Kluyveromyces lactis: one gene and its partners. The protein of the gene in region 2 interacts with the protein of the main gene of each other region in a biochemical or structural test. Links are inferred from orthologs where the notes say so. Each region holds a gene or a part of one and is shown on either strand. Other genes may lie near its edges. The genes, in order: ORC6, MCM2, SLD5, ORC5, SLD2, ORC1 and PSF2.

What was found.
Region 1: the proteins of MCM2 (region 2) and ORC6 form a complex in vitro, tested with the Saccharomyces cerevisiae proteins (3 studies listed by BioGRID). The link is inferred for Kluyveromyces lactis from reciprocal best matches to the Saccharomyces cerevisiae genes MCM2 and ORC6.
Region 3: the proteins of MCM2 (region 2) and SLD5 form a complex in vitro, tested with the Saccharomyces cerevisiae proteins (2 studies listed by BioGRID). The link is inferred for Kluyveromyces lactis from reciprocal best matches to the Saccharomyces cerevisiae genes MCM2 and SLD5.
Region 4: the proteins of MCM2 (region 2) and ORC5 form a complex in vitro, tested with the Saccharomyces cerevisiae proteins (2 studies listed by BioGRID). The link is inferred for Kluyveromyces lactis from reciprocal best matches to the Saccharomyces cerevisiae genes MCM2 and ORC5.
Region 5: the proteins of MCM2 (region 2) and SLD2 form a complex in vitro, tested with the Saccharomyces cerevisiae proteins (3 studies listed by BioGRID). The link is inferred for Kluyveromyces lactis from reciprocal best matches to the Saccharomyces cerevisiae genes MCM2 and SLD2.
Region 6: the proteins of MCM2 (region 2) and ORC1 form a complex in vitro, tested with the Saccharomyces cerevisiae proteins (2 studies listed by BioGRID). The link is inferred for Kluyveromyces lactis from reciprocal best matches to the Saccharomyces cerevisiae genes MCM2 and ORC1.
Region 7: the proteins of MCM2 (region 2) and PSF2 form a complex in vitro, tested with the Saccharomyces cerevisiae proteins (2 studies listed by BioGRID). The link is inferred for Kluyveromyces lactis from reciprocal best matches to the Saccharomyces cerevisiae genes MCM2 and PSF2.

Annotation. Positions count from the first base shown.
Region 1 is NC_006042.1:2,245,813-2,250,100, reverse strand, and holds ORC6 (origin recognition complex subunit 6), read left to right. Parts: upstream 1-2,184; coding exon 2,185-3,435; downstream 3,436-4,288. Other genes in the region: histone methyltransferase SET1, read right to left, coding at 1-1,840; NMA111 (Nma111p), read left to right, coding at 3,695-4,288.
Region 2 is NC_006042.1:1,164,968-1,170,239, reverse strand, and holds MCM2 (MCM DNA helicase complex subunit MCM2), read left to right. Parts: upstream 1-1,896; coding exon 1,897-4,530; downstream 4,531-5,272. Other genes in the region: KLLA0_F12606g (uncharacterized protein), read right to left, coding at 81-1,160; NCL1 (tRNA (cytosine-C5-)-methyltransferase), read right to left, coding at 4,760-5,272. UniProt on the Saccharomyces cerevisiae protein: Acts as a component of the MCM2-7 complex (MCM complex) which is the putative replicative helicase essential for 'once per cell cycle' DNA replication initiation and elongation in eukaryotic cells.
Region 3 is NC_006042.1:1,023,151-1,027,253, reverse strand, and holds SLD5 (DNA replication protein SLD5), read right to left. Parts: upstream 2,277-4,103; coding exon 1,398-2,276; downstream 1-1,397. Other genes in the region: serine/threonine/tyrosine protein kinase RAD53, read left to right, coding at 1-1,125; PAC11 (dynein intermediate chain), read left to right, coding at 2,588-4,103. UniProt on the Saccharomyces cerevisiae protein: Required for DNA replication. Functions as part of the GINS complex which plays an essential role in the initiation of DNA replication by binding to DNA replication origins and facilitating the assembly of the DNA replication machinery.
Region 4 is NC_006039.1:233,790-238,340, forward strand, and holds ORC5 (origin recognition complex subunit 5), read left to right. Parts: upstream 1-2,252; coding exon 2,253-3,674; downstream 3,675-4,551. Other genes in the region: POL2 (DNA polymerase epsilon catalytic subunit), read left to right, coding at 1-2,042; U5 snRNP complex subunit LIN1, read left to right, coding at 3,866-4,551. UniProt on the Saccharomyces cerevisiae protein: Component of the origin recognition complex (ORC) that binds origins of replication. It has a role in both chromosomal replication and mating type transcriptional silencing. Binds to the ARS consensus sequence (ACS) of origins of replication.
Region 5 is NC_006042.1:1,277,132-1,281,355, reverse strand, and holds SLD2 (Sld2p), read left to right. Parts: upstream 1-1,909; coding exon 1,910-3,112; downstream 3,113-4,224. Other genes in the region: transcription factor HAP4, read left to right, coding at 1-40; CTF13 (Ctf13p), read right to left, coding at 670-1,839; snoRNA-binding rRNA-processing protein UTP15, read right to left, coding at 3,262-4,224. UniProt on the Saccharomyces cerevisiae protein: Has a role in the initiation of DNA replication. Required at S-phase checkpoint. Also required for the proper activation of RAD53 in response to DNA damage and replication blocks.
Region 6 is NC_006038.1:453,176-458,628, forward strand, and holds ORC1 (origin recognition complex subunit 1), read left to right. Parts: upstream 1-1,541; coding exon 1,542-4,202; downstream 4,203-5,453. Other genes in the region: ECM7 (Ecm7p), read right to left, coding at 1-1,069; Ras family GTPase TEM1, read right to left, coding at 4,433-5,104. UniProt on the Saccharomyces cerevisiae protein: Component of the origin recognition complex (ORC) that binds origins of replication. It has a role in both chromosomal replication and mating type transcriptional silencing. Binds to the ARS consensus sequence (ACS) of origins of replication.
Region 7 is NC_006040.1:557,228-560,908, reverse strand, and holds PSF2 (DNA replication protein PSF2), read left to right. Parts: upstream 1-1,705; coding exon 1,706-2,311; downstream 2,312-3,681. Other genes in the region: ARG2 (acetyl-CoA:L-glutamate N-acetyltransferase), read right to left, coding at 1-1,383; KLLA0_D06479g (uncharacterized protein), read left to right, coding at 3,462-3,681. UniProt on the Saccharomyces cerevisiae protein: Functions as part of the GINS complex which plays an essential role in the initiation of DNA replication by binding to DNA replication origins and facilitating the assembly of the DNA replication machinery.

The DNA of each region.
Region 1 (4,288 bases), about 1.1 Mb from region 2:
CTTCCGATTCATATCCAGATGACTCCGGAGAGTTTTCACCGTTTGAGCCAACATTGAGTGAATCCACTGTATCTTCTCTGGTAGAAATTTCATCATTTAACAAATGCGACATATGTTCCACCTTAGGTTTCTTTTTACGTTGATGATCAGGAGATTCTTCAGTGTATAAATGACGTTTGCCTAGATCAGCTTTCCTATCTCTTTTCAGCTTTTTTGTTTTAGACGCAGGTCCGTATAGACTGAAAATATCAAATTCTGCGGGTTTGGCCTTTATCGTTGTCTTCTTTTGTGATTCCTCACGCTTCTTCTTCTCATCGTCCAGTTTCTTCTGCCTTTCTACAACTTCCGGGTAGTTAGCAGGATTTAGCGTATCAAATATAATTGGACCTACAAGCCTTCTCAAGATATCACGCTTAATGATATTATGCAAATCTTTGAGAATTTGTTTTGTGGAGGCTTCTAATAGCTCTTCCGTGCTTGAGTACTCTATCTTTCGAGGTTTATTGATATCTCTTTGGTTAGTGATATTTGATTGAAGTCTCCTCTTTGGTTCAATGAAAGTAAATTCTATTTGTATGGGAGAGTGAGTCCTATGCGAATTTATGACCAAGGCACCTGATTCGTACTCTAAACATGCTTTTGCATTTTCCAGATCATGAAAAACAATATATACGCCAGTGTAGTGATCAATAATTTTGGCCCAATTGTACTTACGAAGTTGATATCTGAAATCTGCTGCATTGAACCTATGATAAAACGTAATCTTTGCAGGAACAAACAAAACTGGTCTGTTGTTCACAACTTGAGTTAAATCGTATGGCACTCCTCTTATTACTTGAGGTTTCTGCCCGGATGATTTCTCTGCAATGGCCCGTTTCGCTTTATTCACTTCTGTCACTCTGGCTGCGTTCTGTTTGATTAGTTTGTCCTTTATTGAATTTAACACTGTATTTTGGTTTAAAATGACATTGAACTTGATACCTGATACTGTGTAAGGTGCGTCTTTGAATTTCTCTGATGCCTTATAAGCAGCTTTATATGGAGCATCAGGTTGAGAAACTGGACCAGTGAATTTTATTAGATAGACGTACAATGGCAATGCACTATTTGGATCCATGAACTGTTCAAAATGCGCTATTTCACCAAATGATTTAAAGTAGTTTTTGATTATTGCTTCAGATAATGCGGCTGCTATTGGTTGTTGGTTAGATGCAGAAGGGTATACTATGATTTCTTTTGGAGGTTCAGGACCAATGTAGAAAGAATCATACGGAATTCGCGAGTTGCGTACCAATGCACTTCTAAGCTTTCTATATCTCTTTTTCGCAGAAATGGACCCAGAGACCGCATCCCCATTCATAGGACGTATTCTCGGATCCACCGAAGTTTGTTCAGGCTGCCTGGCCATGAGTATTGGTTTTTGCTTATCCGATGCAATCAACTCCGTTGTTGTCACATATCCATGCTCAGGAATCTTCTCAGATTTCCATTTCTTGAAGCTGGATTCATTTCGTAGTCGTTTACTTACAATGTCGTAATAATGATATTTTGTATTAAACTCATCGCGATCGTATTTCGCACTCACTACTGGACGCGTTGCGAAGGGATTACGAGGAATCTCGCTGATACCACGCGACTGCGACCGTATTGGACGAGATTCGTTCTCATTATTCCTAAGTTGAGACCCAAACCCCTCGCGGGAGTATCTTCGGTTCCCTGATCCATTCCGTTGGAAGCCCTTGTACCTATTCCCATTTTCTTGATATGCATATCGTCCGGTTTGGTACCGATCATTATTCCCATGAAAATGAGAGTACTGTCTATTATAGTACCCACTCATGAGAACTAAAATATACACACACGCTGGAATAGCAACTTATGCTAGATGAAATACTAGAAGTATTGCCAAAACTGAACTTATAGATGGAGAAGCGAATAATGATACTTTTGATTAATATTCAATTTCATTATTTACCATATTTTGTTTCAATATTGGAGAAAATCGAGAAAATCAGAAAAAGATCAAAAAGCTACATAAAGACTGTTTTTAATATTATGTTAAAAATGGTCCATGGAGATGAGATGAGATATATGTCTTTTCCGGGCCAGTGTAATACAACAAGTGAGTAGATGATCCTATTTTAGTCACTTTAGAGTGCTAAGAATCCGTGGAAATAATTTAAGATGTCTACGCAGCAAGTACGAACGTGTGTAACCGATTTATTAGGGGTCAAAAATGATTCTAATGTTGACTGGCAAGACCAACGGTTAAAGAAAGTGGCTTCTACTACAGCAACATTATACAACGTTTCAGTATCGAAAGTGATGCTGAAGAATTCAGAGGAACTTGCTCGGTGCCATATATGTGCACTGATTGCGTTTCAGAAACTAGCTGAGAAGTATGACAATGACCTACCATATTCTCAGGAGAAGATCCCGCTTCCACCAGACCAAGTATCCAAACTTGTGAATATATTTAAGAGAAACATATGGCCTCATTCGCCGCAAAAGGATACCGAAGGACAATTGCTGAAGTTTGATGATACTGCATCACCATCGGTTAGAAAGTCAGCGGTTAAAAATGCAAGATTCACAGGGATAGATCCGAAGTCGTTACAAGAACAGCTATTCCAGACTCCGTCGAAATCAAGAACTAAAAGTGGTATCCAGCCCTTGAAGAATGTTGATCTTTCACCTAGCAAAGGGAGTAGGTCAAGTGTCCGGAGGAAATTAGTGTTTGAAGCTGATACAGAAAATGGCCTTCCGTTGCCCATATTAGCAACCCCGAAGAATAAGACTGATATGATCAATATACCACAAGTGTTTGGATCAGTTGAGGATGATCCTGAATCTCCATTAAGACAGTCACCCTTTCGTGACTCCCCTTCTAAATACACGCCTTCACCAAGAAAGAAAAGAGGTAAGTATAACGAATGGAACATGCTATACAAAAAATACTATAGACCGTCTACCGCTGAACTGGTGACTCTGTGCAATGAATTTGAACTTCCTGAAGAAGTAACAGCTACCATAATTTCCGAATTCAATAACAACGCTACTTACCTAGCGTATCCTACACAGTTGGTTTGTGGTCTGGTACTTCTTTGCTCGTTCGTTGTCTTCAACCAACAGAGAAATCAGGACAGTACAATCGATAACAAGCTAATGAAGAAGATGGCGGCACAAATGAGAACAACAAATGATGAAGATATCATGGAAGCTATCAAGATCACAAAAGAACTAATAGACGGTGAGAAATGGTACCGAGAACTCCGTGTCAAGTTCGATTATTACGATGGATCGGATTTCGATAACGCTATCGCCGTCAGAATAGGCAGCATGTTACAAGACGAATATGAAGTCGTATCAGAAGAGCAATACTCAAACTGGAAACGAAGAATTATGGTCGACCTCAGTCTAAGAGATGGCACATGAATGGTTTCCTCCGATACCTTTCTTCTCACCGTCCCCATCTTCGCATTTATCATTCAATACGTTTTCATTACCTTTCTAATGAATTTTTCACGTTGACGTTTACCGAAGGGAACGGCAAGATGAAAAAAAAGAAGATAACTAAACATAGAGAGCGCAGATGAGATGAATTGAAGAGAGACATTACCGTCTGTCAGAACTCTGGAGATCGGATTACTCTTCGAATAATCAACTGCGAAGTACGTACCGAGTAACTGGTGAAATGACTGTTGAGTTGAAGCGAAACCTACTCGAATCATCTGTTGAAGACATTGATCTTGAATCCAAGAAACAGAGGGTCGACAATGACGTCGATCAGAACACAAGTAGTGTAGACGAAGATATTGATTATGAAGAAGACTATGATGAAGTGAACGATGTACCTATAGATTCAGGCAACTCTTTATTCAATAACAACGCTAAATGGCAAGAAACTATCTCCAAAGTTGTTAAGTCGGTGGTCTCAATTCATTTCTCGCAAGTCGCACCTTTCGATTCAGAAGCTGCCTTGGTGTCGGAAGCAACAGGTTTCATTGTTGATGCAAAACTCGGTATCATCTTAACAAACAGACACGTTGTGGGTCCAGGTCCATTCATCGGATACGCCATTTTCGACAATCACGAAGAGTGTGATGTCATCCCTATCTATCGCGACCCAGTTCATGATTTTGGGTTCTTGAAGTTTGATCCATCGAAGTTGAAATATATCGAGGTCACTGCACTAGAGTTGAAACCATCTTTGGCCAAGGTTGGTTCTGAAATCCGTGTTGTTGGTAACGATGCTGGTGAAAAATTGAGTATCTTGTCAGGGTTCATC
Region 2 (5,272 bases):
AATAAATTCTTCTAAATGTAGCAATGTATATAACATATCCACATTTAAAGTTTATGATGATTAAATGTCGTAACAAGAGTTCATTTTTTCTGAGTATCAAAAAACTGCTTGATATCAGATTCACTAACGACCTTATCGTTTTCCGCAAATGGTCGTAGGAAATCTGTTAGTTTTGATTTTATTTGCTGGAAAGCGACTAGACTGGCTAGAGTTTGCTGATGAGACAAGTTTTGAGCTAGGGCCGTTTCTCCCATTTCTACAAGAGATCCTTGCTCTTGTTCCTCCGGGGGTTCATAAACTTTCTCTTCACAAGTGAGGAATGGTGCTGTGTGCATGAAAAAGCTTTTCAAGGAGTCACCTTCTGGAAGTGAATCCCTTAATCGTTTAAATTCTTCCCTATATCCTTCTTTCAAGAATAATGAATATGAACCCGAAGAGTTTTCCATTTCTTCTAGCCCTCTTTTCTTGGTACTTTCCAATGTCATTCCCTCGGAGTTCTGATCCGATACCAGATCTCTCCTGTACACTTTATGTGCTATGATTTTATCACACGCTTCGTGTGATAAAAGCTTTTCAAATATCGAGCTGTACTTGTCAATACAAACCCATGAGATAAATCCTTCGAAACTTGACAGTTCAGGGAATCCTGGTAGCTTTCTGTCTTCTGTAACCGGGTCTGGGTTTTCTTCTATCCCTAGAATGCAGTGATCATGAAACCAGTCCTCATTGCACTCCAAGCCAAGGACGCATTGTAACATCGTTGTCGTTGTATTCGGGTCATACTCTCTATGGCAAGAGCAAAATAACCCTTTGAAATTCTGGCCATACCTGTTACTCATGTCTGGTATATCTGGTGTAGTATTCTTTCTTATATTACAAGGTGTGAACTTCTCACCGTGTTCAAACTGCCTTTCTGTACCGCAATCGCAACTGAAATTCCTCTTATCGAAAAGTTCCACCAAGTCACAGGTACTGTGACACTGAATAGAGCATGAATAGCACACTCCTATACTGTTGCAAGTACGACATGCGAATATTGGCTGTCGAATTGGGCCCATGGAATAAGTGCAATGGCTTGGATCATATGGCATCAGTTTATTTGCTTCATCTTCCAGTTCCTCCTGTCGCTTCACATATTCTTTAACGCTAATCTCGCTCATTCCCTAACACCAACAAGACTATCTTTAAGTGCCAGAACTCACCTTGTAGTAAGAAATGCGTGAATGAAGGTACCCTTTTTGCCTTTAACTTGACGTGTTCCTTATGTTTAAATTTGGGGATATTTCATTGATAGTAAGAGATTTTCCATGTCGATGAATCAATATTCCGTATGATTTTACGTCAATATCGACACATTTGGACGGTTACCGGATGGAAATCGATCTAATATGGGGCACAAAATGCATCACATCATTCCAGAGCTTCAACATCCATACTTTACCTGCAATTGTGTTGCTTCATCGTGTGATTGGAGCTATAAGTACGGTTTTTAAGCGTATGATCCCATGTGATTATCACGTGATCCACGCATCATAATAAAGAAATTATACTAATCAAATGTAGATTGCAAAGCTAAAAGAGGTGAGAACTACCGATTGGTGTTATTGGAATATTGCCATTGCTGTATTATTAGCCCCAACGCTCTACAATGGTCAGATCGTTGCAAAACACCATTTTAGGAAATGTTATTGTTTCAATTAAAGATCATTTTCGTACATTCAACTGAAGAAAAAAGCCGGAAAAAACGTTAAGATCTTAAGATAGCTTTAGATCCCAATGGTCTGAAACAAAGTGTAACAAGTAGGTCATCGAAGCATCAGGAAGACAATTGTGTGATCGGATTTGGTAGTGCGATAATTGAAGATTATTAATTGCTGTTTTTGAAAGTGTTTCAAGATGTCTGATAATGATGAAATAAATAACGGAAGGAGGAGAAGAAGAAGAGCTGATGATGATGAGGATGAGGATGATTCTTTGTCTACACAACCCCGTGAAGGTGGCGCTAACATCCCTAGTTCTCCACAGTTTGAAGACCCGCTTGGATCTCCAGATGAGATAGATTTTGAGAATCCAGATAACGATGGAGATGAAGCTGTCAATGTTCAAGAGGATCTTGAAGATGTGGAAGAAAGAATGAATGAAGTCGATTTGATGGGTGATGATATGTACCGTGATTACGCTTCAAACACAGAACATGATACGTATGAAAGAAGAGGAGTCGACGACCAGGAGCAGCAAGAGTTGTCGCTCGCTGAGCGTAGAAGAATCGATGCACAATTGAACGAGAGAGATCGTTTGGTGCATAGGAACACAGCATACCTTGATGATGATGATGGCGAAGGAGCTGGTGCGCATAATTTGGATGCTATGGGTCTTCCAGTACAGAGGAGACGTAGAAGACGTCAATACGAAGAAGCAGATGATGATTTGTTATCAGATATGGATATAGATCCGTTGGCAGATGAGCTCTCGTTGGAATCTTTGGCAGATGTGAAGGCATCAAGTTATTCTGAATGGATCACTCAACCGAATGTATCACGTACTATTGCCAGAGAGTTGAAATCGTTTTTGCTTGAATATACTGATGAGTCAGGTAAATCCGTTTACGGTGCTCGTATCAGAACTCTCGGTGAAATGAACTCTGAATCCTTGGAAGTTAATTATAGACATTTGGTAGAATCCAAGGCCATTCTAGCCCTATTTTTAGCCAAATCTCCCGAAGAAATGTTGAAAATATTTGATACAGTGGCTATGGAAGCTACACAACTACACTATCCCGATTATACTCGTATTCACTCGGAAATTCACGTAAGAATCTCGGATTTCCCTAGTATATTGAACTTACGTGCTTTACGTGAAACTCATTTGAATTCTTTAGTTAGAGTTAGTGGTGTCGTGACAAGAAGAACTGGTGTCTTCCCACAACTTAAATACGTTAAATTCAACTGTTTGAAATGTGGTGCCACACTTGGGCCTTACTATCAGGATTCAAATGAAGAAATTAAAATCTCGTTCTGCACAAATTGTAGATCTAAGGGTCCCTTCAGAATTAATATGGAAAAAACTCTGTACCGTAATTACCAAAGAATCACCATCCAAGAATCACCAGGGTCTGTTCCAGCCGGTAGATTACCACGTCACAGAGAAGTCATTTTGTTGTGGGACTTGGTTGATATCGCAAAACCTGGTGAAGAAGTCGAAGTGACAGGAATCTATAAGAACACATATGACGGTAATTTGAATGCAAAGAACGGGTTCCCCGTTTTCGCAACAGTACTGGAAGCCAATTCAGTGAAGAGAAGAGAAGGCGGATTGCATGATGGTGATGAACACGAAGGGCTGGATGCCTTCAGTTGGACAGAAGACGAAGAGCGTGAATTCAGAAAGATGTCTCGTGACAGAGGAATCATCGATAAAATCATTTCATCAATGGCTCCATCTATTTATGGGCACAGGGATATCAAGACAGCAATTGCATGTTCTTTATTCGGAGGTGTTCCTAAAAACATTAACGGTAAGCATTCCATCCGTGGTGACATAAACATTCTACTTCTCGGTGATCCAGGTACTGCCAAGTCCCAAATTTTGAAATACGTGGAAAAAACTGCCAACAGAGCTGTCTTCGCTACAGGTCAAGGTGCTTCTGCAGTCGGTTTGACAGCTTCTGTCAGGAAGGACCAAATAACTAAAGAGTGGACTCTTGAAGGTGGTGCGTTAGTGCTTGCGGATAAGGGTGTTTGTTTGATTGATGAATTCGATAAGATGAACGATCAGGATCGTACTTCTATTCACGAAGCAATGGAACAGCAAAGTATATCCATCTCTAAGGCAGGTATCGTTACCACGTTACAAGCCAGATGCTCTATTTTAGCTGCCGCCAACCCGATCGGTGGTCGTTACAACTCTACTCTTCCGTTATCACAAAATGTCAATTTGACTGAACCAATTTTGTCAAGATTCGATATCCTCTGCGTGGTAAGAGATTTGGTTGATGAAGAAAGTGATAATCGGCTAGCATCTTTCGTCGTTGATTCACATATCAGGTCTCATCCAGACAAGGATCTGGATGATTTTGATGATGGTAACGTTCCAACGGAAAATCCTAATGGGGAGGGTGATGAAGAAACTCCGTTATCTGCCAAACAAAGACGCTTGCAGAACCTTCGTAAAAGAGAAGAAGAAATTTCGCCCATATCTCAGCATATGCTAATGAAGTATATTCATTACGCAAGAACTAAAGTTTACCCTAAGTTACATCAAATGGATATGGACAAAGTGAGTAGGGTTTATGCTGATTTGAGACGAGAGAGTGTCACTACTGGTTCATTCCCGATCACCGTTCGTCATTTGGAATCTATCTTAAGAATTGCTGAAGCCTTCGCGAAAATGAGATTATCAGAATTCGTTTCCTCATGGGATTTAGACAGAGCAATTAAAGTAACAGTGGACAGTTTTGTGGGTGCACAAAAGATTAGTGTACGTCGCCAACTACAAAGATCTTTCGCTGTTTATACTATGGGAACAATGTGAAATCAAGATTCAACATTTCCAACGGAAGAAAACAATTCTATAAGCTCAGAACAACAATATACCGTTCCCATTTTTTCCATTATAGATGCAGTACTACATCGCTTATATTAGCATAATATACAAATTTGTAACTAATAGACTTAAATAATGATTACTTCAACCTTCAAAGGAATACCGCTTTTATAATTTCATGTAGAAGTCTATAACTGATAATGTGGAGTGAAGAAACTTATTCAGCCGTGGATGTTTCAGTGACAGTTACAGCAGGTACTTCTTCTTTCTCAGAAGTCTCTTCCTTCGAAGAGTTAGCTGATGCGTCAGCTGCTTCTTGGGCCTTCTTGGCCATATGATCAGCCTTTGGATTTTGTTTGCTGGTTGTTTCGATGCCGAAAATTCTGTACAACAATTCGTGAACATCTTCTTTACAAACCATCAAGTTGATACATTTTGATCCGTTCCAAACTGGTAAAAACAAATCTTCCTTGGATGGATCATTTCTATCGACTTTAATGAAAGTGCATCCTGCACTCAGTTTTTGAGTCTTGGAAATGAATTCTGGATCGACGTTGTCCGCTGTTAAGTCTTCGTATCTTGGGAAAGCTTCAGTTAACAACTTCTTTAGAATTTCCATGTTACCTGGGACGATTCTGGCAGAGTTCATATGTTGTTTCATGATTGGTAAGGATTCGGATTGAATTCTCCAAGCACAATCAATGTCTGACCTTTGGGAAACAAACAGTTT
Region 3 (4,103 bases), about 140 kb from region 2:
GACCCTAAAGAAAGAATGAACGCAGGAAAGGCCCTGCAACATCCATGGATGAAAATGGCATACGTTGATAGCATGCAGTCACAAATATCCATCTCACAATCCTTGTCCCAGCAACAATTTGTTGACAGTATGAATGAGGCTGAATACGAATCATACATTGCGAAAAAGAGGTTAGAGATTATCAAGAAAGAAATAACGGCGCCTGCTGCAGAAACTAATAAAGAGCCTGTATTCAAAAAACCACAAATTGCACCATCTAAAATTGCACAATCCCAAAACTTGCAGTTTAACTTTTCAAATCCTAATACTGGTAAAGCTATTAATGTTAATTATAAATCTGGTGAAGAAGGACTTTCAAACAATAAGAACAAAAAGATCAATAGACCACTTACAAAGGTCAATGGGGAGGGGCTATTTCTCACTTTGCATTCCTTACCTGGCTCATCTATTTCAGGTAAGGTCCAAGTAAAACAAGGGATAAATCCATTCTTCATCGGTAGGTCAGACGAATGCAACTGTAAAATTGATGATAATCGTTTATCTAGGATACATTGCTTCATATTGAAGAAAAGACACGCTGTCGGTGACAGTATTTATGAATCTCCAGCTCAAGGTCTTGATGATGTATGGTATTGCCAAAGTGGTACTAACTCAAGCTATGTTAATGGAAAGAAAATCACTCCGGGCACAAAGATCTTACTTCATGATGGCGATGAAATCCAAATTATATGGGATAAAATCAATGATGTCACTGTTTCTTTCCAGCTTGAGTTCAATGATACCACTGGTTTGTTCCACGAGGGGAAGCTGGATACCAATGAGAAAACAAACAAGACACTTCTACATAAACAGACACAGGAGGAGTTAGCTTTAGTCCCTAAGTTTATGGAATTTATGAAGTCTAGATCATCACAACATGCCAAATCTAATATAAACCAGTCCTCTTCCAGTAACATAGATGCCAACTCGCAAAATATCGAGGAATTAGATTCTGTCGTTGAGATGAACTCGACTACAGGATTGAAAAGAATACATTCAGTGTCGTTATCTCAATCTCAACCGCAGACAACCAAAAGGGCTAAGCTTGCCCAAGCCCAGAAACCAGATATTGAAGGATTTCTCTGAGCTGATCATATGCTTGCCGGATGGGTTTTGCATACAGTAAATATGAAAAATAGGTACACTTTGAGTATGCTAGATAGACTTTTCAACGTTAATTGATGTAATACTAATACAAATTGGTTCAAAAGCACTATAGACCAGCAGTCAATAACACTAGGTAGAAAACATGCTGTGTTCGCAATAACATTGTTGAGAAATTATTGCTGGCAAACATTCGTTACAAACCTATATTTTTCGAAGAGTCATAGGTTCAGTAATACTGTTCAGAATTTTCATTATATTAAAACTACTCGTCCCTCAGTCATGAGATCTCGTATTACACTATAACGTATTACGTATACTGCCCCGATTAATAAGTAAATTTCTTCATTTAAATCTTCAATAATCACTGAGTAACAGTGTTTTCCATCATCATCGGTCGTTAATTTCGAATCAATACCACTTTCGTCAACTACCCCACCACAAACTAGTATAAATACAGTTTTATTCCAATCGGGTTCATCAATCATACTGATGGAACCCTCAGTATCGTTAACGGCTTGCAGTTCTTCTGGTAAGTGCTTAAGTACTGCGTTGTTAAACAGTTTTAGTAATATGTCAGAATGCTTCATATGGTACTTCACCTCTTCTTTGGACATCAATAAATCTAGTCTGCTGAGGCCCGCATTATTGGGTAGTTCGGATTGTTGTCTTAGGTAAATGCTGTATTTGTCAATTTTGCTTAACCGGCATCTGATGAAAGATCGAACTAGGAACTTCAATCTCTCAAGTTCTGCTTCCATGCATAAAAGTGGTAGCTTTGAATCGACAGTTAACTCTTGATTATCTTCTAAGTATCCCATTGATAGTGTTTCTATTAGTTCAATTCTTTCTTGAATCCTTATTAATGTCCTAGTCATGAGATGATGTGGATATGGAAGCAGCTCCGGACTCATACGTTCATTCTTCCAATGTGTAATTAGCTTTTGATAGTCGTCAATTTTGTTAAACTGTGTGGGAGCCACAGGGTCAACCGCCTTATCTGCTGGTCTTATCTGAGAGACATCATTGCCTTGAGTTCGATCGCTTTGGTCTGGGTATGAAGAAGCATTTTGTTCAACAGCTGTAGTGTCCCTATCCAGCTCAGCTAGAATGTCGTCAATATCAATGCTCATTGTACTAAAGAAATATGATCCTACCACCAGGACTCAAAGCGGAGGAAGTGTTCGGATAGTACACCGGGGTGGCTTTTATAATTGCTGTAAAGGTGTATTCAGACAAGAAGGACTTACTTGCAATGTGTTATCCTCCAACCTATTGTGAAATTCATCCAACTTACTGTAACATCGTATTTTTGATAATACTCAAATCTTATTTATCATCTTTTGTTTACGCTTAACAAATCCATACATGAAGCAAGATAAAACGCGTCAGTGAAGAAGCGCTCATCAGCAACACCAACCTCAGGGGGAATATACCCAGAAATATGGACAAGAATGAGCGCTTACAGTTGATGAAGCAGAAAATAGAGGCTCTTCAGCTGCAAAGGAAAAAAATTGATTCGAAACATGAAGAGATAGCAGATTGTACCCTTCCGTTCATTTCCCATATCACCAATTCCATAAATAACAACGAATCTGAAGTCAAGAAAGAAGTAAAAACTGTTGAGATCTCAGTGCAAACAGATGATGTAAATGAGTTTGAATTGAGCGCTGTTAAGGAGGCTGTGATAACATATGATATCGGAATACAGACAGATGAATATGACGGGAAACATGAAATTATGGAAGATGGACATCTACCTTCCCAAGATCTTATAGAACAGCAAGCATCGACTTCAGATATTACAGAGACCAAGGAGGATAAAGAAGTTGTTGAAAAGGATGTGTTTGATTTCGGAAATGTCGTTTCAGCGGAAGACTACGCAACGTTGAAGAAAGAAACATTTTCACTACAGGAGACTATAGAAGCGGCTGCGCTCAAGTCATCTTCTCATCAAATCGCTGGTGATGGGAAAATAAGCATGTATTTATCAATTTCACCAAAAGTTGCCATTGATTCAACTTCTGAAGCAAGGGTCATTTCCAGTGACGTCTTAGATAATTTACTGGTTACTGTGATTCATCTTGTAACCAAATACGTGAAAAGCTCTTTAGTTCAAATCACACACGTCTCTTCTGGTGAGGTACTTGATACAGTTTTATTCCAAGGTCAGAATGTTGTACGGAGCAAGTTTATTGATAATCCTAATTCTAAGATTACCTCCGTCGTTCTTTCTTGCTATACAGGAAAACTCATCTTATATGAACTGCGAACAGTCAAAATAAATAATAGCTTTCAGGTGGAAAGAAATATTGTTTCCACTAATTATCATCACTATCCGGTACTTTCAATTATAATTCCAAAATTCAATGACCATAGCATCCTGGCGGCCAGCACCAATGGCCAACTTAAGCTGATATCAACCTTAGATTTATCATTAAAAGAGGATGACGATGTCAAAATTATTCCTATCCCAAGGACGGACTTATCATATTCTACTGAACAGACTAAAAAAGATAACAAGTATTACCAACACCTATTGATAATGTCGCTTTATGACGAACTGAGCATAATTAGTATGCTACTGCTGCCATCTGATCCTTCTTCCATATATCTTGGTTGCGAGGATGGCTTTATTTACAAAGTGTGTCAATTACCTCTAAAAGGTGATAACAAAGGGTGTTACAAAATTAGTGAAGGAAACAATGGTTTCATACCAAACTTCACCTCAAATGTGGATGATGCTTCTCTATTCCACGAAGGTCCAATTACTGGTATGGTCGCTTGTGCTGGCATTGATGATCTTTTCTTCTCTTACTCCATTGATGGTGATTGTATTTTTTGGGACGCGGTCAGCAATTCAAGAGTAAGTGTTATAGAGTGCGATGATGCGATAATAAAAGCTCAGTGGATTAACGAAAATGGCTCTTTCTATGTTGCTCTATTAACGAGTTTCACAT
Region 4 (4,551 bases), on a different chromosome or scaffold from region 2:
ACGAGAAAAAGTTCGAAAAGCTCGATAAATACTATGACTTAATCAAGATAAACAAGAACGTTTCGTTTAACGTGAATGATTATACTGAACTAAAGCGTTTACTGAAGGACCTTTCAAAGATGCTGCAAAATATTAAGGAAGAAAAAGGATCTCACACAATGGTGATTCTACAATCTCCATATACCCATAGAGTTGCTAAATTGTTGCAGCCTTTGAATGCCTTCCCTGTTGTTGAAATAGCTACTGCTGAAACACATTTGCCAGCTTTGAACTGGCAGGGACAATTAATGAGGAAAGCGGTCAATCACATATTGTCTCTTGGTTCTTGGATCTCAAATTTGATTACTCTCTCAAAATACAGCAACATTCCAATATGTAACCTCAAAGTCGATAATCTCGGATACATTATCGATTTGATGTACGCTCGCCAGTTGAAAAAGAACAACATCGTTCTATGGTGGAATGATAAATCGCCGTTGCCTGACCACGGTGGCGTTGAAAGAGATTTTGACCCACGGAAAGCGGAGCTCATGACTGATTTGGTGTTCCCTATTATGAATAACCCTGATATCTATGATGACGTTATCTTCGAAATTAGTGTCTATAACTCTGTTGTGAACACTGTTTTGAGCAGCACCATGTTGAACGAGGCTGAAGGTACAGACCTTGCCCAAAATTCGACATCTAAGGAAGAATCCTTCGGTTTTGTTGAAGATTCTTTCTCTTCTTCGGCCTTGTCAGTGCTTCGCGCACTGTTGAAAGAGCTTTGGGATGATGCCTTAGGTGATAATATCACGGCTGACTCATTAGTACACGCATTTATAGGATGGGTGTATAACCCTGACGCGAAATTATTCGATTATGCTTTGAGATATCACATCCATACTCTCACTCAAAAGGCCGTGTTACAGTTGATCAATGAATTTAAGCTGGCAGGATCATCTCTCATCTTCGCAGACAGAAACAAACTGTTAATCAAAACTCAGAAGCGTTCCGTTGAGAATTCTTACGCCTATGGGCAGTATCTCATGAAAGCGATCAGATCTAAACCAATGTTTGCCTATCTAGACTTGAAAATTGATAGATATTGGGATGTCCTGATTTGGATGGATAAGTATAATTATGGTGGTAGAGCATGTCTACAGATTGAAGATAAAGAAGTTCAGAGTTTCCAGGCTTATTCTCATTGGCATATAAAGGATTTCTTACCTGCAATTTATCAGCAAGAGTTTGATGATTGGTTAGTAGTCATACTGGATAGTATGGTTAAGACAAAGGAAGCCTATCATGAGCGAAATGCATCCACACAAAGATTAACCCAATTACCAAAGAATACACTGGCTGATAGTGACGTAGATAGTCAAACTGACTCTCTAGGCGGTTTTACCCATAATTTTTCAAAAGCTCTCATCAAAAGAGCAGAGAAACTTTACAAGAACCAACAGGAATATATTCTTGATCCTAACTTCGGCAAGGATTATCTATCTCCCACAATTCCTGGGTCGCATCTAGTTGTGAAAAATCCGCTTCTTGAGTTGGTCAAATACTTATCACATATTTTATCACTTTCCAGTAATCATTTATTAGAAGGAAGGGCGCTAAGGAAAGAACTCCTAAAGACATTTGAAATACGCGAATTCGACAGATTAGCTGAATTCAAGGATCCAAGTACATCTTTTGTGATCCCTAGCTTCATATGTGAGCATTGTTCTTATATATCAGATATTGATATTTGCAGAGAAAGTATGGAACGAGTCTTCATATGCCAGAGCTGCAACAGATCCTTGAATAAAAATCTCATTGAAGAGCATGTGATCGAACGACTTCAAGCCCAAGTTGCATCGTTTATTACCCAAGATGTTAAGTGCAATAAATGTCATAAGATCAAAGAGGATGCAATGTCACCTTATTGTCCATGTTCAGGAAAATGGGAACTTGCCGTATCTAAGGAATCTTTCATGGCACAGTTACAAATTTTCAAGAACTTGGCGGAAAGCTTTGACTTTAGAACATTGAAAGAAACTTTGAATGATTTCTTATAGGTTCAAGTCCCTGGCATCTGTTGTATTATCTTTTAGTCTGCTGATGTGTTTACATTTAACATTTATGAGTGTTTATGTGTTAAAATAGATCTGAAAATAAAAAATATATATACACATAAAGGAAATTGTTCTGAACTTAGCATGGTTGAATTCTTCCCACCTGAATGAAGACGCACTATGTGTTATTTACTGCGAATCAAGTGACCCAGAATGGTACGACCTGATGTTAGATATAGAGAAGAACAACTAGATTTTTTGGAAGCGTTTGTCGATGCCGATCCAAAACTGAGCCCGCCAATCTTGTTCATAGAAGGGCCGCATGGAAGTGGTAAGACACATACCCTCAAGAAGTTTTTTGCTTGCAATGAAGAAATCATGAACATTTTACTACCAGCGAAAGATCTGATATATAGCAAATCCACCTGTCAGCGGTTGGCTACATGTCTGCGTCAATTGCTACTGAAACAATTTCCTAGTGTGGAAACCACTGATCTTGATCCATTTGAAGCCGAGGACGTATATCTTTTGCAGAAATTTATCAATAAATTGTTTATCCGATTTAATCACTTGGTAGAACGCGTTAACCTTTATGTTATACTCGATGGGCTGGATGATAATTCACAGGTGAACTTGGAAACACCTACGCAACTCATGGCATTACCTGGATCTATTCTTCCACAAGCGATGATTCAACTTCGGTTAATAATCTCGTTCTCCAAATCCTCATTCTTGTCCAATTACTCAACGTTCAAGGTTCCCACGATCTTCTTCCCCAAATATAAACCACTGGAGATTGAATATATTGTATCACAAACACCAGGTTTCTCGGATGACCCGCTGTTATTGGAAAAAATGGATGAGATAGGATGCGGAAATACAGAACAATTCAGGAGTGAAATCTTCGAAAAATATATCCATTTCCTGATAGAATCATTAATTGTATATACAGGTTATGACCCCACTGCACTGATAGACATAATGAGAATTAAATGGAGGTGCTTTGTACGATCTTTAAATCAAGAGAACATTAAAAATACAGTACAGTTATACAAATCTAACCTGGAGCTATTCAATAAACCTAACGAAAGACTAATACCACAAACCAGCCGTTCGGATCAAAATTCACTAAGTGGTACCGGGTCTGTTGGTTATTCAAGCCATTCTCTTTGTTTCATGGCAAAATATCTTCTAATAGCCGCATATTTGGCATCATATTTGAATCATCGGTACGACTCTAAAGTCTTCTCCAAGAAGAGTCATCTAAGGGGGGGTAGATCATCTTATGGGAGAAGAAGCAAACCAGCGAATAACCCGAGATACCTTCAACCATCAGGCTTTTCTCTTGAGAGAATGCTGGCAATTTTCCAATCGATATACCCAGTCAGAGTTTCGAAGGAATTGTCTCCAGATTTCTTTCAAAGAGATGTTCATATGAAAGCAAATGTGGAAGTCTACGAAAACGTGTCCGAATTGATTACTTCTCAACTTCTTACCGGTCTGAACATGCACAAATTGGGGTATCTTCACGAAAGACTTAAGTTTAAAGTTAACGTCACTTGGGATTACATATTACTAGTGGCTGGCAGTGTTGATTTTGATATTTCAGAATATTTCAGTGATGTTGTGGAATAAACTCGGCATTTGTAGTAGTTATATGATTGTTGCATGCCGTTCTTTTTTTTTCGATCTCATTTTACTCTATGGAATGCTTCTTCAAATTTAGGTATTTTTTATAGACATTGAAATTGATACGTAGAGAGAAACAACCATAGATTCAGATATTTGACATACCAGCAAGCAGAAAGCAGCAGCTTTCATTGAGTATGAATGTAAATAAGGGATCATCTGATCAAAATGATAGATCTGTAATTACCAAATCTAAGGATAAGCTTCAGGTCAAAAAGACTGACTTCAACGCAGATAGCTATGACGATCACTTCGAGGAATCAGACTACCAGGACATTTCTTGCAGCGACGACAGTAGCGATAATGAAGAAGAAATAGAAGATTTCGTACGAAGAGGTCAAACCGAAACCGATGAAATCTTTGATGGAAATTCCTCAGAGATTTCAGAATCTGACAGCGCTGTTGCTGATGATTCAGTATCAGAAGAAGAAATAAATGGTAGTAACGTACAAATAGAAGCCTTCAACATGGAAGAAGAACTGAAAAATGGGACCGTAGACAAGGTAGGGAATGCTACGGGAAAAACTATAAATGATGATTTTGAAAATGAGGACCAATGGATCCAAGACTTTTCTTCGAAGGAGTCAATTAAAAGGGCAAGAGAAGCTCATGAAAATAGCCAAACTCTACAACGGAAGAAGAGGGCTAGGATGTTATACAGACTAGAAGAAGTTCTCGAACAATTGTACTATTTTGTACCGAGAGGGAAGACAATTCAAGAAGCATTGATTTTGCTTCAACAACTACGGAAAAGTTTACCAAAAGAACATAAGGAACGTACAAAATACATTGCGAACGCAATACAGATCATTCTAACTTTAGT
Region 5 (4,224 bases), about 110 kb from region 2:
TATGGACCTTCTCAAGATGGGTATCTTTTTCTCGGACTAACACTTTCTTATTCTGCATATTACAATCGCTAAACTCTGCTTTTGTTTCTAGTGTTCTACAAAAAAGCATATACGTGAGCTTTGTTGACCAAAGGCTGAAATTTAGTAACATTTCGGATATCGTGTTAATTTTGTCATATTCCATTCTAATCTGTTGCTGTTATCTTTTGCCGCAACATGTGCTTACTTTCATTCCACCCTTACATTTTCAATTCCAAGTTGTAGTCAGCCTTATTGTTTCCCATCCTTTCTTTGACGATTTGTCAATTATGTTATCCCCGCTAACCATGTTTTTCCTTCATTTAACACCGTTATTATTCTCGAATAATGAGTACGTCAAGCACCCCCTTTTAATGACCCCTTCCAACGATTCCAATGACAATAATGTTTTAACGACACAATAATTTACCTTTATTACCCACCGATTTTTTTTATTATTATTATTATTATTATTATTATTAGTATTCACGGTCCTCCAATCTCGTTTGATGAAATGAATGACACGAAATTACTCTCCCTATCTATATTCATTATATTGCTCTTATTTATAAGTCTATATGTACATTTGTTCTCTGTTTCTCTCGCGCTAATGAATTGACATATTTATCGTACACATTGGACACAATTCTCTTATATCAGTAAAACAGAATCTACCTTAGTCCCATTAGAAATCTTTATTCTAGATTCGGTTACTAAACGAGCAGGTAATATTAGATTTCCTTTAACTCGCTTGGCGTTGTGCAGTTCTATGAAATTCAGAGGTTGGTATGTTTGTACCACTTCTAAATAAAGGTTATACCATTCTGATTCCTCTTCTTCTTCTTTCTTCGTGGGTTTTTTCACCTGACCATTTATAATCCATTGAGGCCTGATTCGTTTCAACAGATGAGACAGGTCCCACCATATGATATACTTCACTTCTTTTAATATCAACATCTTGCAATGTTGTGGTAAAATAAGGTTATTGAGGTCTATGAATTCGCAACCTGATAAGGAAAGACATTGAAGTTGTTCCCATTTTTGTAAATCAACAACAGATTTGTACCCCAAATCCCTCAACGTATACAGCTCTAATTCGAATATATTTTGTCGGACATTGTATACTATTGTCTTACCAGGGTTCTCTCGAACTCCTTGAGTATTAATCAGGTTATTAAACATGTTCTTCGATTCAATGCGAAGCATGTGCAAGTTATTGAACGACTCCATGCATGGAATGATAGAAACGACGTTCTCATGATCTAAATCCCAGCAATTGATGAAACTAATATATGAAACTGTATCAAATAGCCAGCGGTGTTGTATCTCTTTGCATAATTCATTGACATCATTGATATCACTGACGTTAATTCCTAACCTCAAATCTTGTTGTGCAATACTCAAAAGATGGCAATACTCGTTAATGGTATAACTCACCTGTAGAAACTGCTCATCTGTAGTGAATATTCCTATTTCAAGCTCACCTGACACTACGATCCATTGGACACTAAACCATTGTTCCTCATATTGTAAACAAACCCGCAGTCGATCAGTAAGTATTATGTCATGTCGAAGCAAATCGAAGTCTCGGCACCAATTGGGAATGAAATTTGGTATATAGTCATATACACCAATATGTTTAGAGTACTTATCCACCAGAGATTGATTGAACTCCCTTATATTAGGATAGGCAATAAGCTCATCGTTAAAGATATCTGATTTAGCAGGTGGTCTTACATTTTGCACAACGTCGCCCAAAAAGAAGTAAACAGTATACCGTATATCGATTGGTAAACTGAGGAACAGCTTGGTATCAAACATTCCATCTCATGTGCCCTGATTGACCTGTGATCGTGAATCTTTTGCAGCTCATTTCTCTTTATTCTTCTTCATGGGAAACTTCAATAATTTACGCGTTTTAATTTCGTTCTTTGCCTTTATTCTAACGACCTTTATGAATGGAATAAAAGAGACAGATACAGTAAATGCACCGTTGTTACTCGTGATATCAAGCGCTAGTATGGATGCTCTTAAGATTGAGATCAAGCTGTGGGAGCGTGCTTTCGAGAAAGAGCATGGAAGGCTTCCTGAGAAAGATGATATAAAAAAGGATAAAGAGGTCAAGAGAAAGTATAAACAGTATGCACAGCTCAAGAAGGATGCTACTGTTAAACCATCGGTGGAGGTTAACGTAGAGCAAACACCAGTGAAGTCGCATGTGAATAACACAAAGGCTGAATTCGGACCGACTCCTCAAATGAATGGGAAATTAGTTAGTATATTTGAGATGCAAGTGTCTGCCATGAAAACTCACCAGTCGGATCAAGAAGATATAGTTGGCTCGCCAGTAAGATCAAATGACCTGGTAAGGCGCCAATTGAACTTCTCAATAACGCCGAACTCTTCTCCAATGAAGCAAGTTCCAAATCTATCTGCGAATATTGTTGTGTCAAGACCGAAATATGGACCAAACTCCCCAATGCGGATCGGCGATATTGGATTGCAGTTGTCAGAAACACCAAAGACGCTTGGTAGAACCCTGGATTTGAAAAGTTCTCCCTTCAGCCCATCGCCGCTGATTAAAAGGCCGGTGAAGACACTGTCCCAATTAGCGAAGGAACATGCCATTATAAAAGACGAATTCGAATCTAACCCAGAAGATTTCAGCGAATTCACTGCGATTAGAACGCTTATGGAAAAGCTGATGCAGGAAGAACATATGGATATAATTGAAGAGGGGGACGAGGGAACTGTCGGCAATGAAACTGAGAGCAATTATGTGCGGAAAGTTAAAACCATAAAGAAAAGAACAAAAGCGAAGATGAGACCAGCAGCATTAAACGAGAAGTCGACCAACATTCCAGACAAAAATGTTCATGAACAGCTAGCAAAGTTGAAGGAACGTGAGTACAATAAAATGCTGGGTAAAGAAGTGGAAGAAAGTGAGTCTGACTCTGAACAACAATCCAATCCACCCGTAAAGAAGAAGCAACGTAAGAGTAAATACAACCTTGTTAGCAACAACTTCAAGCGTTTGAATCTTCCAACAAAGGCAGGAAGAAACAGAGCCAGTAAATGGAGAGGAAGAAGGTGATTTCTTCAAAGTCAGAACGTTAAAAACAAAGAAACAGACGTAACGAACGGGATGATACAGTTGTTGCAGTCTATGTACTATAAATGTAAATAAATATAATCTTTTACACGCATTCCTTTTTGTTATAGATCAGTGTAGAAAGGATTTTATCAGTTTGTTAACAATTGGAGCATACCCTCTATCTTTTGTGCTTCTTTTGCTTTGCGGATCTCTTCCCTTACTCTTTTCTTTAGAGTGATTACCATCTCTTCAAGTACTGGGGACTTCTCCAGTACACTACCGTAGAGTTCAATTACAACCGCAATCCAGTCTGCAACAATTGGTGCACTTCTAACATCTTCTATTCCCTTCAAGCACCAGTTGAGTAGTGGTTCTAGAGAACTTTCGTCTCTACCGTATAATGCAACCTTGATTTTACCTCTTTTCCTTAGTTCTTGTAATACCGTTAAAGTTAATTCTTTAGCCATACCGGGGATAAATGCAGAATCTAATGCGTCAGACCATTTGAATTGGTTGATATGCCTTTCGAATTGACGCAACTTACGCTGAGGATTTGGCTTATCGTTGTGTATAATATGCTCTTGATCACCTCTGTATTCGGACCCTCTCATCATTCTCTGGAAATTGTTGGATTTCGCAGACTTCTCTTGCTGTTGTAATGGTAAATCCTCCAAATCAGAGACATCAGCGAGGTTAATCTTTTTGGACTTCTTCTTCGTCTTGATGGCTAGAATTCCTGAGGATAAACCTGCAACGAAATGTTTATTACCTTGCGCATCGCCTGGTGAGACTGCACAACTTAGCACAGCGTTGCTAAACTTCCAGCCAAACTTGAATTGGAAGTTCTCCAACGGGGAAAAGATCTTAACATGACCATCAAGCGAGGATGCAACTAGTACGGAACTCATTGGTGATTCTTCTCCCATATTTGTGTAATTCAAACAGGTGACCGTCTTTGCGAAATTTTGACGTTCACAAAGGGCTCTATCGCTAGTCAAGTCCCATACTTTGAACCCGTTACCACCACACGATGCAAGCTGAGTAGGAGATATGGCTGTGATATCTTCCACAGGAAGACCGTGATCCAAAGTTGTCTGTGGTTTATCTGATTT
Region 6 (5,453 bases), on a different chromosome or scaffold from region 2:
ATGATTCTTGCAATGGTATCATATGTACGCCAAGCATGGATGAAGTCTCTTCCGCTGGCACTGGCGGATCATTATTCGTGATGCACCACTCGAAACCCGTCCAGACGAGACACGATATAATATTGAAAAATGCAAAGATCCACAAGCATGTGAACCAACCAGTTCCAAGATGATATGAAAACCCAAACGAATCAAGTTCGTTCGAAATCTTTTGACGAATGTTGATTGATAGTATAGTAAAGTTTATGACTGCTACTAAAGAGCAAATAAACACCAATAGTTTCATTAGTGATATAGAATGCAGGAGGATTTTGGTTTTCATGGTTTGTTCAGGTCTATTCCTGATCATGTAGTACAAGACAATCGATCCCAATATGAAAACTTCCAATACTGCCACGACGTAAAGTAGATTGACCATGTTGACTTTTCTTCTCGACAAAGCAGCCAAAAATTTGTTGTATTTTGCACTTTCTGCATTGTCGTGATCCAAAACACCATCGTTGTAAGTATATCCGTATGCGTAACTTAACACTATTCCCAAACCTAGGTCATCTAATAGCTTTCTATAGTTCAATAAGTATTGCGCTCCTTCCCTGTGACAAGTCATAGCCTTTGTAGAGTTATGTTCCTCCTTCCAAGTACCGTCAGGCTGCCATAATTCTTGAGAAGCATGTTTCATGCTGCACCATCCGTAAACTCCTGTCTTTATATAATCGGGCACGTCGTGGACCTGTGAGTCTACATACCGCGTGAGTAAAAGAATCTCTGCTGTTGTGAGTCCTGCTCCGTTATTAATATCAGACAGTTTTGCACTGACAACAGAACTGCTGAGCTTATCAAATAGTCCCTGCAAAATGTTAACATTTGAAGTGTCCAATCGTCCTAAATATAACGAATTTGGTGATGCGGCAGAAATAGCAGTCAAAACAAGGACAAAAACGATAATTCCCACTGAAGTTATAACTCGCAGCCATAACATCATCTTATCAAATGCGTTGAGGTGTCCTAGGGTCACTTTTAAGTATTTCCATAACGATATATTCCTCGCCAAGACACTTCCAAACCTCATTTCTTTTTATAAAGCTCCTAAAAGCTTCTTATGTATGACTCTATCAACGTGGGAAATTGTTCAATTTTTTTTCCAGCAGGCCAGCTGCCTTTATTCTTCTGTGTTTATCTGCTTCACCTTCGTTAATTGACTGGCAGAATTCATTCTGTTTATCATGTCATCACTCTTGAGATAAATCTCTTGATCTGTTTCTGCCAGGGTTCAAGGTTTAAAATTAGACGTCAGGAATGGGAAAACTATGTATCATTTTACACGTATTTGATGTTTCAAGATCGATCTTAATTCAGTAAACAGAGGAACCGTGTAACAACCAATATGCTATGAGATAAAAGAATGCTACGGAAACAGGTAGCTGTCATTTCAACATACTTGGCCAGCAAGTAACTACTACTAGTTTAGGAAGGAATTACTGCATTTTAACGGTTATCTGATTATTTTTCCTTTTTATTCCGTGGTAGCGAGTTTATTAGGCATGGCGTCAACGTTAGCTGAGTTTGAAGTTCAATGGGAAATACAGAAGACAGACTTGAAGGGGAATCTCATTGCTGAAACTCCTAGGCGAAGAAGAAGAGGAGATGCTACAGAACATGAAGTGATTAATTTGGTACGATACGATGGAGTCAGACTTTATCCTGGTGTTACGATTGTGTGCAAGGTAGAGGGTGCAGACGAGTTATCAGCGTATATGATCCATGAGGTGCGATTGAATACAAGCAATTACGTAGAACTCTGGTGTTTGAACTATTTGAGTTGGTACGAGATCAATGCTGCGGAAAGATATAAACAGCTTGATGGAGAGTTTTATGAGACTAATAAGGAAAAAGGTGACAAATTTTTTGAGGAAACCTTCGCGTCACAATCGATAAAGAACGAATTGTATTTGACAGCTGAGCTTTCAGAGATTTATCTACGGGACTTGCAATTTGTAGCTAATATTAAAAATGAAAAGGAGTATTTAGACTCTGTCAATGAAGGGAAAATGGATTCTAATATGTTTTTATGTCGATCTGCATGCTTGCCTTCAGGAACTAATCTGGCGGATTTAGATATACATTTCTTTGAAGAAAAAATACGTTCCTCGAATCCTAAGGTGTCTCTGGAGTATTTGCGTGATATTACTTTACCCAAGCTTCCAAAACCTTTAAATAAATCCAAGGTCCACGCACGAGAGAAGGTAGTGGCGACGAAATTGCAGTCCGACAACACACCAAGCAAAAAAAGCTTTCAACAAACAGTGAGCAAAACCAACGCTGAAGTCCAACGCATTGCATCTACTATTGTTAACGAAAAGGAAGCTATATCAGATAATGAATCGGATTTATCTGAATATCACGAAAGTAAAGAAGAGTTTGCAAACGCATCCTCTTCGGACAGTGATGAAGAGTTTGAAGATTACCAGTCTGCAGAAGAGCTTGCAATTGTAGAACCTGCCAAGAAAAAGGTGAGATCTATTAAACCAGATATACCCATTTCACCAGTAAAATCACAGACTCCATTGCAGCCATCAGCAGTTCATTCATCTCCTAGAAAGTTCTTTAAGAATAATATAGTGCGCGCTAAAAAGGCATATACTCCATTTTCCAAACGGTATAAGAATCCGAAGGATATTCCTGACTTGAACGATATTTTCCAAAGGCATAATAATGATTTGGATATAGCTGCATTAGAGGAGAGATTCAGAACAGTTTCTGCTAAAGGCAAAATGGAGACTATTTTTTCTAAGGTGAAGAAGCAATTGAACTCAAGGAATAGCAAAGAAGAAATTGTCAAAGCTGCTGATTTCGACAATTATCTTCCGGCAAGAGAAAATGAATTTGCAAGTATATACCTCTCACTTTACAGTGCAATTGAAGCAGGCACTAGCACCAGTATTTACATTGCCGGGACGCCAGGCGTTGGTAAAACTTTGACGGTTCGAGAGGTAGTTAAGGATTTAATGACATCTGCAGACCAAAAAGAACTTCCAAGATTCCAATACATTGAAATCAATGGTTTAAAGATTGTCAAAGCAAGTGATAGTTATGAAGTCTTTTGGCAAAAAATATCTGGAGAAAAGCTTACATCTGGAGCTGCCATGGAATCTCTGGAGTTTTATTTTAACAAAGTTCCAGCTACGAAAAAACGTCCTATCGTTGTGTTATTGGATGAGCTTGATGCATTAGTTAGCAAGAGCCAAGATGTAATGTACAACTTCTTTAACTGGGCTACCTATTCAAATGCGAAACTTATTGTTGTAGCTGTCGCAAACACCTTAGATCTCCCCGAACGCCATCTTGGTAACAAGATTTCGTCCAGAATTGGTTTTACTAGAATTATGTTCACTGGTTACACGCATGAAGAGCTTAGAACAATCATCAATTTGAGACTTAAATATTTGAACGAATCTAGTTTCTATGTCGACCCGGAGACAGGGAGTTCGTACATGATCTCTCCGGATAGTAGTACTATAGAAACTGATGAAGAAGAAAAGCGAAAAGACTTCTCTAACTATAAACGACTAAAACTTAGGATTAATCCTGATGCCATTGAGATTGCATCAAGAAAAATTGCTAGTGTCAGTGGTGATGTGCGGAGAGCTTTAAAGGTGGTCAAAAGAGCGGTAGAATATGCGGAAAATGATTACTTAAAGAGGCTTAGATATGAGCGACTAGTCAATTCCAAAAAAGATACTAGTGGCAATGGTACAGGAAATGAAGAATTACAGAGTGTAGAAATTAAGCATATTACCAAGGCATTAAACGAAAGTTCGACCTCTCCGGAACAACAATTCATATCTGGTCTGTCATTTAGCGGAAAACTTTTCCTATACGCATTAATCAATTTAATTAAGAAGAAGCAAACTGACGTACAACTTGGTGATATCGTAGAAGAAATGAGGCTCCTCATTGATGTCAATGGGAATAACAAATACATTTTAGAGTTGAAACGGATTTTATTCCAAAATGATTCTGTTGATACAAAGGAACAGTTAAGGGCCGTGTCTTGGGACTATATTTTATTGCAATTATTGGATGCAGGTGTTGTAGTAAGGCAATATTTGAAGAATGAGAGGCTCTCGACGATCAAATTAAATATTTCCATGGAAGATGCGGAGCAATGCTTGCATGAAGATGAAATGTTGAAGACATTTTAGTATATGCCTTCAAGACGCCTTTGCTGCTATTATAATTGCTACTTAGGTTGTCATGTAGCGTAGCGGTTAAGTAGAATATGAAACTGCTTTTTCAACTATTTAATTATAAGATAGAAAGATATAATAAAGGATGCATTTTTTTAACTACTATTTTACCGTGTTTATTCATTCTTTACCCTCCCGCTTCGGGCAAGATGAAACCGTTGATCACGTAATAGGAGGTAGGTGATTTACGATGATGGCGGAGGGGTATGCACTTGTCTTTTTGGAGAAGAAGGTCGCGAAGGACCGAATGATTTGTATATCAGTAAGGGCTCGCCGATCTGTTTATATTCCGGTACTTTCAGAGTTAGATTGAAAGCTTTTGCAATCACGACCTTAAATATTTTCTGTACGTTGATTGATGATTGGGTCGAGCAAAATATCAGAGGCGATTTCATAACTTGAGCGTATTTCATCGCAGTTCTAGATACATTTTCTTGATATTCGGGGTCCATATCGACGAAAAGGTCATATTTAGTTCCAACCAGAATTGAAATTGCTGTATCATTGAACCCCCTTGCTTGTCTGTACCATTCTTTTATCGAATTTAAAGTCTCTGGCCGCGTCAAATCGAAAAGAAATACTATTGCAACTGCACCTTCGGATACTAAAGGGAGCATATTGATAAATTCACGTTGACCTCCAAGATCCATTATGGAGAATATAACGTCTGTGGATCCCAGCACCACTTTCCGCTCGAGGTAATGCACCCCCAATGTCTGCGTATATTCCTCATCAAACACATTTTGTACGTATTTGACCATTAAAGAAGTCTTTCCAACTTGTGCATCACCTATCAGGCCAACTTTCACCTTGACCTGGTGTCTAAGGCTCGGTACTCGATCTTTATCCAGAGACATTGCAACGAAAAAAAAAAGAGTGTTATCTGTAGACTTGTCTCACTGCTCTGTGTGTGTATATATCTGTAGCACACAGGATGTTTTAAAAGATACAATTGAACTTGGATATCAGCACGTATTTGTATGTTTCTATGTGTCGTTATGGAGCATACCGATATGTGTGTAGATTCTCATTATTTACCTTTAAATCATGGTAGCATGAGAAATGGAAAATGACAACATTGGGACTGTTGTTCGCGGTCACGTGTTGCTTTGACATCCGGACACCATTGTATTCATAAGTTTTACATCCATACATACTGTGTGTATCTTCAAATTTCATAACAGTAAGATATTTTGCTAAATAGGA
Region 7 (3,681 bases), on a different chromosome or scaffold from region 2:
GAGAGAGCCCTTTAATTTTTGTGCTACCGCAAATTTGTCCAAATATACGAATTGCTTGTCCTTTGGCCCTTCGTATGTCAAAATTGCAATACCTTCATAATCTCCTATTACGATTATGCTCGCTATGTTACCATTGATCCTGCCGAGATAATGTGATAGGTCCAATGACCTTTTAAAACTTGAATTGATTATCCCATTCAGTTTATTCAAATCGAGTTTTTTCGATACTGGGTCAGATTTGCCAGTTTGAGTAGCTTGCGATGGTGGTAGACCTATGGAATTATCATCGGTCAAAGTCCTGAAGTCAAATATATGGATATCAATCCCCTTCTTGAAAACTGTAGTCACAAGAACTGAATCGTTTGCGGAAGTGACTTCCTCTTCCACGTTGGAAGATGGAAGCTCATACCAGCTTTTCGATTGAGCCGCAGCCGATCTTTTGAATCGAGGTAAAGATGACGATATCAATGAACGATCAGTCAAGATATTATATACCAATGGGTTATTATCTGATAATTTGGACCCTGCTAAAATAGTGGTAATTAGCCCAGTAGACGAATGTGGTAGAACTGATAGCGTTTTATTCATGATTTCAAGGTCTTCCATATGACATTTCAGTTGATCGCTGTTACTAAGAATCTTATCCTGATTCAAAAATAATTGTAGAGATTCTACCAAATTCTTCTCAGTATTATCCACTTGAATAGATTCTAGTTTCTCCAATTGATTTTGATAACTGTTTCTCAATTCTCGATATTCTTGTGACAAATTTACAAAGACATGGCTGTTTGTATGTCTTTCCACAGACGGCAATCCACCATACTTGCTGATAAGGAACACCTTGTCGATATTTATGGGCAAGTTACTCACTAGAGATGATAAGAATCGAGATGGATCGCCAGCCAATTTCTTAAAAGCTTCCTTCTCATGGTACTGATATGGCTCAATAATCGGAATAATATGCGGGTTCAAAATCGGAAGTTTTACGTCAATTGAGCCACGTTCACCGATGGTAATGGGATCTAATACGATTATTGACTTCAGACTCTGATCATGCAAATGATTGTCCAAACGCTGACTTTGGTATGATATGTCTTGGCATAGCGGGTCTACTATTAAAATTGGTCTTAGTCCGAGTGTTTGAATTCTTGACACAGTCTTGCTAAACCCACTAAGTACGTTATCTGAATATTCGGACAAATGTCTCAAAAATACAAGACAGTAGTGATGATTATTCTCATCGGTATATTTGTTCAAATAGTCTTTCGCTTCCCTTTTAGTCACTGTAGAATTCAAAACGCTCATAACCAAACTCCTGCCATGAGCATTAGGTTGATGGTATCTGACCTCTGTGGTCAAACACCTAATCCATGTTTTGATCATAGCACTAGCCCACAAAATGTGCCTTTGGACGTTATATGATGAGATCAAACCATTTATCTGCAAATATGGAAAGTGTATAAAACCATCATTTATTCTAGTTTTATCAATGAGTCAAGTCATCAGAGAAAACTGCCAGTTTAAAGCTTTAGTTAGTCTTTCCTGTTTTTGTTTTTCCTGTGCTGGATTTCAATGTCAAGATTGAACATGGAAAAATAATTGAAGCACAGATATCGATTGGTCATAGTCGCGCATTGAAAGCACTATGTAAGGAAGTAGTGAGCTTGAGGACACTATAGATTAGCAACTCCAACCTGAAATAGAGATGGCACTACCGAGAGATCTATCAATAGGATTTTCTCCCCAAGAGATACAGTTTTTAATTGAAAATGAACCGACACGAATTATGCCCAGAATCACTACGAGGAAGACCAAAAAACAGCTCGCGAAGGATCCTGGCGCCCAATGGTCACTGATCACATGCGATGATTCTACGGTAAATAACATGGTTGCAATGAATAGTTGCGAAGTCACGTTATGGCTGGCTTTACTGTTAAAACAACAGGGAAAGTGTAACGTCGTGGTACCCAGTTGGCTGACGTTACAACAGCTGGAGAAGTATTTAGATTTTGAATTGAAAAACCCATCACGATTCTCCAATCTACCCTGGAATTGGCTAGTGGTATCGTCACTGCTGTTTGCCAGATGCAGCGATGATTTTCAGGATCCAGTTCATCTACTGAGATCTAAGGTCCAAGATCTGCGAGAAGTTCGTTTGGGAAAAGTCAACAAGGGTTTGCAGTACCTGAACGAATCGCATTTACAGCTAGAGAACTTGTCCTTGATGGAAATCAATGAGATGAGACCCTATGCGTGTGGTATCATGGACAAACTGAGGACAATTCATGACTCCAGTAATGACACCACGTGATCAATAATATAATAACCTTTTCCCATTGAATCCAAAATTCCATTCACGAGGTTTCCACCAGTCCCTCCCCTTAATCCAACCTACATGGTTATATGATAACACAGTTGACCATAATCACTAGAAAAGGTCGGGTTACCATGTAAGTACAGGCCTATCAAATAACACATATATTACATACCCTACATGTACCCGCTTCACAGTTTGTAGTAATTCGAAACAACTGATCCATCCCGAACATTCACGCACTGCTTAGTTCTTATTTACGTTTGTGTCGCAAACATGCCTCGCGGGCATGCCTTGCGTGTGCACCCCACGTTCTTGCTTCATCATATTTGTTGTTCTTCAGGCTATTTCGGTTCCTTGCATTGAACTACGGGTATAACTTACAGAAAACGACACAAGGGGGGAACACAAACACGGAAACGAATCACGTTTCTTCAATATTACGTTGGGAAAAGAATTTACCGTAGATAGAAAACAATAACAGTAGAAATTGAGCAGGATGAACTCATAGAGAGCAGCATGGTTGCGTTGATAACTTCCCGCTACGAAGACATTTTACCCGTAACTCTGTGTACCATGTCATAAATACAGCTCAGCATGTTTATAATATATATATATATATCTTTAGGTATATAATAAACCCCGGAAGAGAACAGAGTTGGAAACTCGGGAAATAAAACAAGTGACCTTTGATTCAGTTTATTTGCTCTGTATATAACATGATATTTATAGTAGTTTTTGCTTCCATGGCCATTCTATTTTAGATAGAGTAACCAGCTGAATCCAGTGTTTATCTAGCTAGTTGTTAAAGGAACACGGAATTTTAAAAAAAATAAAAAATAAAGGGTTCTCATTCCTGTGCGTTATCTTTGTTTTTATTTTAGATTTGGGATCTGTCGGCTTTTTTAGCGGGTTTAAAATCTAAAGGGTGGTTAAAGGGACGAAAACAAGTTCAACTTTGAAGAAGTATAACTACAATTCGCCTGTTTTTTACTACTAATTACCGGTCACCACCTGCAGCCAGTCGTTTGGGCACTGTGTTAAGTACACTTTAAAAAAAATTCAACAACATTCACACAAAACCTTATTGTATTTACCTGTGTGTTTTGCGGCCGCTTCCATTTTAATATTACGCGTTAAGAAAGATATGTTGTCATTGTTTCCGTTTAAATTGTCCCATTCCTCTTCTTCCTCGTCCAAAAACCAGCAAGGGAGCAGTGAAGTAAAGGATGAATTCGCCTTCAAGTTTAGAGAGACAGAAAATGAGTTCTTAGATATTGCGCTGATGGGGAAAAGTAAGAATAAGAGCCTGGCCAAGAAGACGGAATTGAGGGATCAGCATTCCTGTAACTTGACCGAGTTACCAA